Linked DNA regions of Drosophila melanogaster. The protein of the gene in region 2 purifies or fractionates together with the protein of the main gene of each other region. This does not show direct contact. Each region holds a gene or a part of one and is shown on either strand. Other genes may lie near its edges.

Region 1 (8,992 bases), on a different chromosome or scaffold from region 2:
ATCGTCCGGATAAGTACGAATAGTGCAAGCGATTGCTCATAACAATTTCTAATACATATGTATGGTAATTTTTCATCAACGACTCTTTTACTGAATACGCAATCCGTAATGCGTCTCTAACCTCTGTGTTATGCTGCATATACATATCTGCGCGTATATAACTGCTTAACGACTTCCCCTATTCTTCCCCTACGCCCGCTTACGCGGTCTCCACATAGTTGGCCGGATACAGTCCGACGCGCCCATTCATGCGTCCCTTGCACCAGCCTTGTTCGTCTTCATCTTCGAGCTTCTCGAAAACATCACCTGAAAGAGTAAAAGGGTCGAACGAGCGGTGAGCGGTGACCGTTGGAGATTATCATATGGAGGGCTTCTACACACCTTGCTTGAATGTGAGCTCATCACTTTCAGCGCCCTCGTAATCATACAGCGCTTTGACCGGCACGCCTGGCTCACCGTTGTCCACCAGCACGTTGTCGCTCTCGTCCCACTCCTCCTCCTCGTCGAATGGATTTGCATCGACTTTGCCGTTGCCGTTGCTGTGTATACAAATTGAAATCAATTAGTTCAATGAAAATGAGCGCATTCAACGCGACGTGTCTCTGGATTGGCGAGCAAGCCAGCCATACAGCCATACACAACCATTCAGCCATCAAGCCATCAGGCAGTCCAAGTGTAATTCAAAACAATACAAACTGTTTCAACTTACGTTACGCTCGAGTTGCGATTGGATGCCGCTGACGCCGCTGTTGCTGCTGCCGTTGCCGTCGCAGCGCCGGCAACCGCCGCCGATGTTTTGGCTTCCGATGTGGTGACTGAGGATTGCGTGGTCGCTATTTCGCTCTTCACACTCGCTCTGCTGCTGACACTGCTCAAGGTGCTGGTGTTCTTCTTCAGGCTGTTTGTCTGGGGGTATTCCTGCTAAAGAGCTGGCTTAGTCTGATATTAACTACTGGGTAGTCAACTGGCTTACGTGCACATCCTCGGCCACAGGTCGCTGGTTGATGAGCGTGATGGGTGCTGCCGGCAGTGCCTCTTTTGATTTGTTGCCCTTGGCAATGTCACGGAACTCCTCCGTATATTCCTGTCAACAAATAGGAAGTTCTTCCATTAGCGGCCACACTGGGCTTCAGTAAAAACAGAAAACTCACCACAAATGATGGCCAATTCATGGCCATGTTAATGCCATGATTGTTCGACCACCATTTTAGGTCTTTCTGCTGGTCTGCATTGTTGATCGTGTGGGAGAACTCCTCGTAGATTTGGGGCAGGCTGTAAGTCATGTAAAAGTTATTTAAATGGATCAGTTAAACTCAAATCAAATTCAATTCGCACCTTTGCACTTTTGTGAGGTCCAGGCACGAGTGCACGTTGAACAGGATTTCTTTGAAGAACTGCAAACGCGTCTTCTCAAAGGTTTGGCACTTTTCAAACACGGATGTCATGTCCTCGATGTACACCGAATTGTATTTGGTGATTTCGGCAATCGCCTGCTCGTACTTTTCCCGGCACTTTTGCACTTGATCTTTGGTCTTTTGCACTCGATCGTGCATTTTCTTCACCTAATTAGGAAATGAGAAGTGGTGTGAGCATAAAATTAATAAATAAATTAAATTAATAGTTATACATACATATGTATAACTAAACTATTGCTTTTACAAAAAAGATCCTTACCTGATCCGGCGACAACGAGCTATCGGCATTGGCATTGCGTTCCTGATTGGTAGCACTGCGCTCCGTCTTGCAGGCCGAATGGTAGTCCGCTTTGGCCTTCTCGACCTTTGCCAGCAGCTTGGCCCAGGGTTTCTGGGCCTTCTTGAACAGATCCTCCAGGTCCTTGCGCTCCTTGATCTGCATAAGCGTGTGGTGGTAGTTCTCCTTCTGCCACGTCTTTATCTGGCTGTTCACATCGTTGCAGAGATTGTCCTTGATCTTCATGTGAACGTCGGAGATGCGTTCCGATTCCGTCAGAACGCCCTTCCAGGCTGCCTCCGTGGTTCCGTATTCCGGGCCTGAAACAAATCAGACATTCGTTATATATCTCTTTTAGCGTTTCTCAATTAACAACAGATTACAAGCGTGTCACCCTGTCGAGCTGTTTGCGGCTGACGTCATCGTGAGCCCCGCGGGTACTTGGTTTATCTAATCAGCCGCAGCCGCAAGATATATACAAACATACATATGTAGCCATATCTATAGGTATAGCAAATATAAAATGCCCGAAGAATAAGCGCTTGTATGGGTGCTGCGATGGAGGAACATCGTACATTTTTGGCATTTTTTATTGGGACCCCAAACACACGGCAATCAAGTTGATATGATGCTCGTCTTATAATTGGCAGTGCACGGAACTCGTTTGCCTAACGACTCACTATTCCCAATTCCCCCTGTGAAAAGGCACACAAACAGATATATAGAAATTGAGACGCTTAGCACACAAATAACTCGTTCTATTTTCTCGTCGCATTGATTTTTGAAACCATTTCAAGCGACGCTCTGGTGCCGGTTTGCTTTGGTGCCGAGTTATGGGCCACTGTCCAGCGCTTCTGCCTCCCAGTCTCCGTATCTGTAACTGTGAACGTATCTGTATCTGTATTTGTATCTGCACACGTATTCGTATCTGTATCTTTGGCTAGACGCGGCTAGGCAAATTCCTCGCAAATAAGAAAACTCGAAGAGCACTCGGAGGCGGAGGAAGTGATGGTAGTCGCTTTTGCAATTGCCCATCGCTGGTTACTGTGAAAGTGGACACTGAGAATTCCGTGCAGAGGCGGTCACAGAAAATAGCAGCAATAGAAGCAAACAGTACCAATGGGGCAAAGCGGTTTCCAACTTCGCAAGCGCTGTACTCGATTTCATTTTACGAAGAAGCGCGCACACTGTGCCGGACATCCGCTAAAAATGGTCAAAGACCCAATTCCGAAAACAATGAGTGAGTCGATGATTACCGCCGTTTTCGAAAATAGTATTTGGTAGTGTGTACTTATAGAAGTACATATATGAGGCAATAGCAAGGTAATAAAACCTTAAGAACCCATATAACTTATATATCAAAAAATAAAAATTGTATATTACTATAAAGCAGAAACCCACAGATATTTGATTCTTTATTTATTTATTATTTTCTCTTGTACAAACTTAAGATTTCCGCTGCCGAATTTTAATTGTTTAGAATGAAGAGTGTGAAGAGTGTATGCATATGTTTATGTTAGTTAATCCAAACACTTTGCCAGCCCCGCTCATTAACATACTTAAATAAATTGGTGTGGCGATTTTGAACCACAGTGCGCAGCTTTTGCAGAATACAACCGACAAAAACGAGGTAACGAAAAACGTAAAAAAAACCATTAATAGCTTAAGCCACTTATCGCACAACGGCAACAACAATGCTCAGAATGATGTACAGAATGTAGAAAATAAGAACAGCCAGTGGGCCAAATAAGTGGTGGGAATTCAACGTGAGCGGGTCACTTGATGCTCCACTGGGCTTTTAGCTCGTGAATGAATGTGTTGGCCAACAGAAGGCTTCCACGACTGATGATGTCTCATCCCACAGGCCACAGCCACCCACATCCCCATATCTCACCAGATCCCCACCTGCCGCTCACTTACCTTTCTCAATGAGTTCACCCCATTTCTTTGACCAGGTGCGCAGGCTTTTCGCATATCCCTTCTCGATGTCGGCACGCTCCTGAATCAGTTGCTGTAGGTCATTGCAGAGTCTGCGGGCGAAATGAGACAAGAATCATAATAATGCAAACCGGTTTGAATTTTTGTCTTGGGTTTGGGCTTCGGGTGTCGATATATTCGGCTGGCAATGACCCAGCGTCGCCCAGTGCAAATACACAGAGAGAACCCATTACCTATTTGCTTAAAAAGATTGATTGTATCACTAGAAATCAAAGCTCATTAAAAAAGTTTATGAAATGTCCACATAAGTAGAACAAATTGAGTTAATACTAAGACCAATGCTTATACCAAGGTCTTTATATTTTCTTATTTTTTTCCCTTAAATAAATACGAATTGCTGTAAGTTTGCATTCAAAACAATGTGATGACACTGCATGACCTACTAAACACACAGAAAAGATACAGTTACCAATACCAATTGGTATGACAGAAACGTTGAAAAACGATTGGGTTGCAGCTACGAATATGTTTTTGAATATTAAGCCAATTGTATTATGTCGAGGAATTCGACTGACATAATGGCAAAATAAAGTATCTCTCTGTGCACCAAGACTCCCTGGGGATTATCCACTCACTTGTAACCATCCTCGATCCGCTTGGTGGTGCGTTTGTAGTTGCCGGGCTCCCAGAAGGAATCGCTTCCAGCCTGGAGGAGCTGATCATCGCTGTGGTGGGACATTTCCTGTGGATTCCAATCAATATTAATCAATCACATACGACGGGCTTAAGCGCAATAATCGTAAAATATGAGTTTTGTTACGTAAATAGACACTGCAGACATAAACAACTTCCACACAGCAGCAACAACAAAAAGCTCTTTGTTTATACGCAAACTTGTATTTTTGTAGTGTTTGGCTAAGACCAACAAATCGTTTGTTAAACGACATACTATAGTAAACCCAAACGAGACGGGCTCTGAGTAAATTTATTGTTTGCCTAATTTGTTCAATTAAGAAATTCCTTCACATTGATGCAACAGGCAGAACTTTAATTACTGGAGCCTTATCAACGACCATATTTCTTGACGGTTTCGCCGAGTGTCCCCATTGATAAAGACTGGACTTATCACCCCTGACTCATTGTGCAACTTTGCATGGTGTTCTGCCAATGGGTTTACTATTTTCAAATTGGAATATTAAGGTAATGTCTTATTTTAATTGAAAAAATTTTCTTCGAAACTAAAAAATAAACATATTTTTAACCATATTAAGATAAATAAATATTTGTAATTTATTTTGAATTCGATTATTTTTAGTATCGCTTTCAAATATTATTTCTGTTTTTTGAGATAAATAGATAATGTTGACAGATTTTCTTTCTGTGTAGCATACATTTTCCACCGTAATAGTTTCATCTTATCAAGGGAATTCTCATGCACCCATATTTTGTAACCCAGATAAATGAGATCCCAAAAATTGAATTTGAAATTTAATATACATACACGCTTCAGGTGTTCTGCATTTCTGATTGTACGCTGAACAGTTGATACGCTTGTTTTTACTCCGGACAAATTCGAAAATTAGAATTCGAAGCAATTCTAACAATTTGGCGTTCTGCTTGCTTTGATAGTGCTTTTTTCTTTCCTTTGAAGTTATTCCCATATGCCTCTGGAACCTTCAAATATCTATCAACAGTTCTGCAGCTGCGATTTATCTGTTTGGCAATGTTCCGATTAGGCAATCCTTGCGAGTGTAGGAAGTCTACTTTTTGACGTTCCAATAAGCAGCAGCTTTACCCATTTTTTCTTCAAATGTAGCTCGAAAACACTTTATTCGTTTATTTGTTATATTTTTTCAATACAACAGTTTATACTTGTCCACGCAATACGAAGAAATTTAAGCTGCATCTAATTCAATGACCAACAGAAAACTTTGATAAGAAAAGCATTTTGGACAATTAAAAAAAGCATGCAAATAAATGATCGATTTTGTTAAAAAAAAAACGATTGTGCGTCTAACCTAAGAGCAGCAGTGTACATCGTATTGGAGACCCTTACGTGTGACAACATTTAACATTTCAATTCTCTCTGTGTAGCGAGCTAAATTTTTTCATACTCGGCGATGGGAAATCTTGGTATCTTATCAGTGGAGTGGAGTTTCCCTGCATCAGCTGTTTGTAAACAATGCAGTCAGTTTGAGTTCCACTCGCACACACCCGTATGGTGAATAACGGTTATGTTATCAGCAGCATTGACCGGTTATATACATGCTTTCTTATTTATATATGTATAATAACCTCTGCTGAAGTTTAATCACCTACACACATGTGTAGATTGGTGATGTTGGGTCTGCTGAATGTGGAATCTTGTATCTTGGGTTGACTTGATTTGGGCGTCATCGACTCACGATGCGCTTACGGATTTTCCCCATCATCGGCTATAAATATAAATATAGGATCGCGGCTCAGTGCGATTTTCGTGTTTTGCGTGTGGAAATGGCCAGCAGAAAGTTTACAAACAGGTTGACGCATACTTCGCATATTTGTGGAGATAGATAAGCACCTTTACGGCGCTCTCACAAGCACTCGCGCCACACACACACACACACATACGTATATGCACATCTAAACCAACACGTCGCACACTTAGGCGATAAGAAATCCCCCTCCGCCAAACAACCAAGAAACTCGTTTATCTTTGAGATTGAACTTGTCTCGACCGTTTCTACTGTAAATATTTGCATCGTTTTCCAGCACACCTTACATAAGGTTTTCTTGGGGCGCTGCTATTAAAATGCTTTCGCTGTGCACTAATTTTTAGCAGGCGAAGCGTACGAAGAGCACTTGCTGGCCGATTGGATTTTGTTGTTGCCAGACGCACACCGACACGCACACACGCTCGGCTAGGTCACACAAACACACGGGAAGCGAAATTCCGCTACACCCAAACGCGTTTACATGAAATGTTCTGTTCTAAATTGCGATCGCTTTTGTTGTTGCTGCTGCTGCAGCTGCACTGCATTTAAATGGTTGTTAAATAATCCTTGGCTTTGGGTCTCTGGCACTTGTTCATACCGAAGCAGGGCGACAACCTACCAATAACAAAATAGCGTAAAAAAGCACTACAACTCGAGTGTGTGTCTGGAATCGCCAACTAAAAAAACTATGTGAGGTGTGACCGTTTCGCGACCATTCAAATACACCTCGCGGCTAGCTGAAAATACCGCTCCATACGAATACAAAAATACCGAAATGTATTTAGGATATACATTTATTTTTAAGACATCTGTACATATTTTTAAGTACTAGTTACAGTACTAGCACAAAGTCAAGTTTTACTTAAACCAATTTGTTCTTTAAGTCCTTAAAATACTGAAGTTTCCAATCAAAATGTGTACACTAATTATACATAGTTGTATTTAAATTCCAAGTAAAATAAAACAATAAAATAACAATCAATCTATAGTCAATACCGCTCCAAATTTTGTGGACAATATAAAAACAGAATTATTTTGAAATGTTTATTTTAGAGGATTGCTTAAAGGACTTCTTCCCGCGCCACATACGACAGCATAAACTCGATTTTGCGAACCAGTTGCGCCAGTTTGGTGCGATCCAATTGCACACTTCCGCTGGCCAAAGCGAACAGCTTCTGGAACTCGGCTTCCTGGGTATTCTTACGGCGACTGATTGCCTTCGTCTGCTGCAGCAGATAGAGAACATCACTAAGGGCGGCCAACTTGTGCTCCTTCGTAGCCATCAACTGGCGGGCATCCTGCTGCAGCTGCTCCCTGTTGTCGACGAGGAAATTGGCACCTCCTGCAGCACTTCCAACTGCAGCCGCGCCGGCAGGACCATTACCCGTGGTGATGGCTTCCATCTCTACGGAGACAATAGCGTCCTCAGCATCCTCGAAGTTGGTGCCGTACTTTAAGGTGGCGCTGAGATTGACAAGGTGGGCCACTGCCTCGCTGGCATTGGTCCTCTGTTCGCCGCCAAAGAAACGAGCCACACAGGCGTAGGCGCTTAGTATGTTCCACAAATTGTAGTGCAGGCACGGAGACGGAGTTTTCTTGCATATATCGGAGAATTTGGCAATGCTCCCGAAAATTTCGGGAACACGGCTCTCTTTCTTGGCAGCTTCTTCGGGTGTAGGTATAATCACAATCTTAGAGTTCTTCGGCTTGATCCACCAGGGCTTGTAGTCTGGCATAAGCTTCATGATATCTCCATTGGTGATCAATTTCTGGAACTCATCTTGCTCCTCTGTAGTTAACCGGCTCCAAACTTCATCCGCATCGTTGATATCAACGCCTTTCAGTCGAGTTGCAATGTCTTCCTCCAGGTCTTCATCCAGTATGTCCCCCTCGGTGACGTTTTCTTCCGCCTCATCTTCTTCTGACTCTCCTTCCTCGCCTCCATCCGAGTCCAAACTATTTTCCAGGCCATCTGTATCAAATTCCTGGGGATTGAAACCACTGTCCGTTTCTCTCATCCTCTTCAGTATGTCGTATATTTTCCGCATGTCCTCCTGGCTTTCCTGCGTTACCGTGTTTTGGGTCAGCTCGTCCTGAATGCAGGACTTGTAGAAAGCCTCGGAACATTTAAGGTGCTCCTTGGACTTGTAGCATCCCACGCTGCAATACAAAGCATTGCACTTGGGACAGGTGTACTTGAAGGACACCTCGCGACAGCTGCAGGAGATTAATATATATTGAACCGCTATAATTAATATTACTTGTTAACTACTTACAAGTGACACTTTTCATCGGCTTCCGACATGGTCAAACAAAATGGAATAAACAAAATAGTGCGGTCGCCAACAGCTGATCGCTGTAGTGTGACCGTAACCACGATTCGTTAAGTAACGGCTTTTCAAATGGATAAGTTTTTATTTTGTTGTAAACAAAATAAAGTTGTTTGTAAACAAATTATACGACTTAGATATTATAAGAGTTGGATTTAATTTGAATTACGCAATTTCTCTTGTTTTTTACATAGGAATTTATTAGCAAATAACTATGTATATCAAATATGAACCTTAAAGATAAAATATATTTAAATATTAACTAGTTAGTCTTTTTACAAAAATTCGTTGTAACTAAACAATACACCTATCAACTACGAACATCAATGAAAAGAGAATAATAATATATTATTTAAGTACTTTAAATGTAAAAAGACTTATGAGAGATTGAAAATGCTTATATAAATGAAAAACAACTTAATTAATTAAAAATAAAAATATAACTGCAAATAAACAGTAAGGGACCTAATATGACCGTACCACCTCCACCCACGCAACGCGTTCAGTGTTACCATCGCGAGCCGCTGGCGCAAATGGCGCGCGCAGTAGGACCGCTCG
Region 2 (5,342 bases):
TGTATGATTCTAAATAACCTAAGATGATGATTTAAATCTAAATGTAACCGAACTGCGCTGCTATTGCAAAAGGTGAGACAAGATTTTCTAGTTAGCTCCTAAGACTAAGATCAAAACAAAATTATGCGCATCTGGGTGTGCGTAAATGTTTGTATATTAAAGCTGGACTTGGGGCCGTACTTAAATCTTAAAATTTAGGAAAAGCATTTGCTTTTGTGCCGCGCGAAGAGTGGAAAAATTGTATTACTAAATTAATTAATAATTATTGTTAAACTTTGAGCAACATTTTTGGACTCTGTGTTTGTTAGTCAAAGTTAGTGTAACCCTGAGTAAAGCAAGCCTAAATTTAAGCAGAGTAACTAAAGAATCATAGTTTACAAAGTATACACAGATCTATGTTATATTCTAAGTGGAGTAAGAACCGTTTTTAGCGAGTTACTCCTAAGAAGCAAGATATCAGCATTTTACAGGTAATTACGCTTCATAAGCATTTAATTCCAATCAAATGGTAACTAATCGTACCGATAACCACACATCAAATTGCCACCAGCCGACTTCTTGGGGATCTGAATGGATCCATCGATCCAGAACTACAAACTCGTAACACTCGTAATCGGAATGCCAGTAGAAACGTTGCTATTTTGATTTGTAGTTGCTTGTTTTGAAACTAACCAAACAGTCGCTGACCAAATCGCTTAACAGTTTACCATATTTTCGATCGATTTTCCATTGCGCCTCTGAATGCTTGTGAGAGGTGATCGCCAATGGAGCAAATTGTAGCGATTCGGATTCAATTCCGGCCAGAACACCCAACTACAATTTCACAATGCCAACTTTTTCTATTTGCAGAGCGGGTTTACGTTCACAGTGTGCCAGCTGGATCGGATGTGGATGTAGGCCCAGTTTGCCCAGCTTATATACTGAATACTACATATGTATATACATATATTTAGTATTCCGCTTTTCCGGTTGTTTATTCACAGGATGTCGTTGTCGTGGCATTTGTTAGACTAAGTCCAGTTAAAAACGAATCGAATCGAATCGCGTTAAATACCTTACTTTGCATTTTTATTGCTATTGTTACCGCTCACAAACATACTCGAATAGTTAGAGCTAATACCTTCCAACATTATGTGCGTTCGTTTTTATTGTAATTTGAGACAAAAATAAAGCCCAGATTTCTGTGTTACCTTTACTTAAACTTTGGCATCCACATGCAGGGCCAGTACACCGTCGAAGTCATCGGATCCGATGTGTATATAGCCATAGCCATTCTCGTTCACAGTGACCGATTTGCCGGTGCAGGATCCGTCGATCAGGCTGCCGGAAATCACATCGCAGTAGGTTCCGGCAGGCAGACAGGTATTCAGATCCTGCGACAAATCGTACAGGTTGTTGTTGATAGCCAGGAAGCCCTTGTTGCCGCGACAGAAGGAGATCTGGTTGTCTCCATTGTCCCACCAGCCGGTGATCTCCGTATCCCGAACGGCGTTCTTGAAGCCCACCATCGCGTAGATCTGACGCCAACGATGCTCGCAAATCCAGCCATTCACACAGGCTCCATCCGCATCGAACTCGGGTGAAATTATTCTCTCCTGCGCATCCTGCGGCGGCGGGGTATCGTGGTCATCGAAGGCGAATGAGCTCATCACCCGACTGATGCCGTAGGGATAGGCCAAATGGAAGGCGGTTGCCATTTTGTACTGCCTGGGGGACTTGTAGTTCAGCACGGCACCCGCGTCTCGCTGGTTATCGTGGTTGTCCACAAAGGTCAAGGCCTGACCCGAGGGCAAGAATCCCCAATCGGTTCCCCAGCTCTGCAGCCATTTCAGTGCGTTGTTGCCACGGAAGGCGTTGCCAATCTCCTCGGAGAATCGGAACTCGGTGACGGCACCCAGATCCTTGTACTCATCACGGGAGACGGTTTCGTGACCGTGATCAATTACCTCCTGGAAGATGAAGGGACGGGAGTTGTGAGGAAAGCCGTGATCGATGTTCAGGTTGCTCAGGCTGCTGTAGATGTACTGCGGAAAAAAACACCATTAACTAATCGTTCCAAACTGGGAAAAGCTAAACTCACCTCTAGATCTTCCGATGCCATATGCTTGGCGGCATCCACCCGGAAGCCAGCAACACCCAGTTCGATGAGGTGATCCAGGAACTCAATTAGCTTGCTCCTCACCCAGTCGCTGCTCTGGTCAAGATCCTTGAGGCCAACCAGTTCGCACTGTTGCACCTGGAAGCGATCGTTCCAGTCGGTAATCTCGCAGGTGGGATGGAAGTCCTGTGCGGTGTATGGAACTCCTGGGAAGGATTTCTTACTGGGTTCCGCCTCTGTTCCAGCAGTGCCCACAGCCACACCGTCAAAATCTCCGGACATGTGGTTCAACAGCACATCCACATAGATACGAACACCCACATCGTTGCAACGACGGACCATGTCACCAAATTCCTCCTCATTACCAGACCGAGTGGTCAGCTTGTACGAGATGGGTTGATATCGCTCCCACCACGGACGACCCGCCGATAAGATGTTCTCATTAACGGGGCTCACTTGAACGCCGGCGAATCCTCGAGGTCCGAGAAAACTCTCACACTCCTGGGCAATGTCCGACCACTTCCACTCGAACAAGTGGACGATGGTGTTGCGATTGCCCCACCAATGGGGATTGTGCTGGGCCAGCGAAAGGCTGCCCGCCAAGCAGAGCGTCAGGGTCAAAGCGAACTTGAACATGACCGTATATACTGTGAGTAATCTTCATAGCAATTTCCCCTTTTTATACCCCACGGACAATCTTATCGCGGATTTGCTTCGCTTGGGTCCAATTTACGACCACCAGATGGTCGCCCCCAGATTGGGGGCAGATTTACAATGTCCATTGGCTGACCTATGGCAATATGCGATAGTAGGATAGATATTTGCAACTCGCGGGTATCTTGGATTTTCCTACCAGGCGGCTGCTTGGTTTAGTCCCGTAAAAGATAACCGCATAAACATTGTAACTTGCATAGGATTTAAAGCTTGTGTTACAATCACATCACATAATCGAATTCGAATCTAAGTTTAAATGTTAGTTCTTCAAGACAACACAATAAAAGTATATGTATTTCTTCCTAAAGAAAACAAGAACCGCCTCCAAAAGAGTATATCAAAGTTCATTCGGACCTTATAGTCAGCTTAAAATCGATTTTATTGCTCTAATTTATGGCAATATTTTTTTGCATTCGCCCATCGTGCTGATTACGATTTGTGAATTATGAAAACTGATTTCTGCTCTTTACTGTGAGTGTCATTAGCTTTGGGCCACGCGAACTTCGGCTTCTTGTGAAGCATCTGACTGCGAGTTTCGCATTCCAGTTTGTAGTTCTTGCGTAAAATTACTGAAAAATAGTAGATAATTTCTACCACCGAAAGCATGCTCATGCCCACAAAAAGACTGAAGGCGCTGCCTAGATTAGCTGAAAATTGACATTTTTAATACAAATTCATAAAGGAGTATTTTAATCAACTTACACACCAAAGTAACCATATTGGAAAGCAAGTCACGTCGCAATCGGCGGTAGCTAAACGAATTGATAAAGACATGCAATACACCATCGTTTTTGGCTAAGCCCGAACTGAAATAAAAAGTTGTTAATAACTGTTAATAAATGCTTCACCAGCATTTCTTTTATTATATTTACTAGAACTTATCGGCCACCGGCATATTCAGTTCCAGGGGAAAATTCGTCAACTGTACGTCGTAATCAATGTGTTCACAGGTTAGCGGACAGTAGCACTGGGTACTTTTCTTTCTTGTAATTATATTGGCTGAAAGCAATCTATTAAAATCGCTATATTTTGAGCAAATCAATAATAACCTACCAAAATTATCCACTAGACAAGGAATATCTCGAAATGTACAAATCCGATCGCTAGTGCGATTAAAATCAAAAAAGTACGTGTGACAACCGCAGAACTTGACCATATTCGTTACTCTACAATTTAGCTCGCAGTTAGGGTATACATAATCGGAAAAGTAACGCATGGGAAACTCATTTTGAAAAACGCAATTTCTCTCTTCGATGATTAAAGCTTTCACAGCAGAAGAGCAAAACGTTTCTTGAGGTCTAACTGCAGCAAATGTCTCCGAATTGAAGGCTATAAATTTTGCAGCAGAATGGGCACTGGGAAAGGCATCTGCTTCTTGGATCAATAACTTTACGCCATACGAATACGATTGCAATGGATCGTAGTTGTCGTCTTTATACCGTACAACCACTGACAGGCCATATCTAAGGCCACCTATTGCTCGTTGGGCGGTGAAGTTCAAACTGTTCAAATGGAAAACTTTAAAACTCTCTAAATTATTTAGTTTGTTATTTACCCACCCTTTTTGTCTCAAATTGAATGAACAGCAATGACCGAAAAACGTCTTGGAAAGCTGAAATATCTTGGAACAATCCATTATTTCACCATTAAACCTACAGCGATACAGAATTTCGTCACAATTCCAGCGTAAGTGTTCTACAAATTCCGGAATTGTGAGATTATTTAGGAATAGAAGGGCTTCCATTTGCTCGATGTCCTCCGCCGAATAGCGCTCATCATCTAGCATAAAACCGTAGAAAATGTGAAGTTTGCGTAGAATGCCCCTCAGCTCGGCTCCTTTTGGAAGTCGACTGGAGGAATAAATCAAGTGGCACATCCTTGTACAGACCTTTAAATAACATACACTTACAGAGTGTTCAGAAAGGCCTCGGACTTTTGCATGTTGAAGAGTACATCTGGACAAATTGTGACAGGTGGGAAATAGAGTCTATTAACCGGTGTGTTATCACTTTCCACATTCATACGCGTCGGACTGCTGCGATAGTCCATGTAGAAGGTGCGCGCCATAACAACAGCACAAATGAACATCACCACCGATATTAAGAGCCACACCAGGTGCACAATCTTATTCGTATCCTCGTCACGAGTGTATTTCAATCCATGGATACTGCTGGTGGCACAGAAGTCACTCCATGTGCGTCGCAGATAGCCCACAAAGGGGGTTACTTTCAGATCCACTTGCTCCGGCTTCAGCTCCTCCTGATGGCCCATTGTAACTGCTAACTAAATCCTTCTGCTTTAGTGCTAGCATTTAAGTAGCTGATAGAGGAGATGGTTGCACTTGATATCCTGACAACTGCTTATTATTTACGAATTAGCCATCAAGGGTGAAAGAGTAACCAACGTTGTTAGGAAAGCTTATTGTTGGCTTTAAGAGAATATGATTATTGGTTATTCTTTAAACAACTTCTTTAAGCAACATTCATTCCCAATACACGTAATTGGTCCTTTTTCTGCCCTCTTCCAATAA

Evidence for each region. Proteins that work in one complex are often made in the same cells at the same time.
Region 1: the proteins of Amyrel (region 2) and Synd purify together in Drosophila melanogaster (affinity purification with mass spectrometry, with the first as the bait; one large-scale study listed by BioGRID). This does not show direct contact.

The regions. Positions count from the first base shown.
Region 1 is NT_033777.3:20,830,605-20,839,596, reverse strand, and holds the start of Synd (syndapin), read right to left. Parts: upstream 6,799-8,992; 5' UTR 6,724-6,798; intron 5,201-6,723; exon of another isoform or gene 5,132-5,200; intron 4,373-5,131; 5' UTR 4,370-4,372; coding exon 4,266-4,369; intron 3,723-4,265; coding exon 3,613-3,722; intron 2,013-3,612; coding exon 1,675-2,012; intron 1,563-1,674; coding exon 1,336-1,562; intron 1,273-1,335; coding exon 1,152-1,272; intron 1,085-1,151; coding exon 974-1,084; intron 922-973; coding exon 710-921; intron 540-709; coding exon 382-539; intron 307-381; coding exon 200-306; 3' UTR 1-199. Other genes in the region: CG31223 (uncharacterized protein), read right to left, coding at 7,166-8,321, 8,381-8,409.
Region 2 is NT_033778.4:16,649,964-16,655,305, forward strand, and holds Amyrel (amylase related), read right to left. Parts: upstream 2,737-5,342; 5' UTR 2,735-2,736; coding exon 2,081-2,734; intron 2,025-2,080; coding exon 1,197-2,024; 3' UTR 1,132-1,196; downstream 1-1,131. Other genes in the region: nach, read right to left, coding at 3,242-3,459, 3,515-3,618, 3,685-4,662, 4,722-5,083.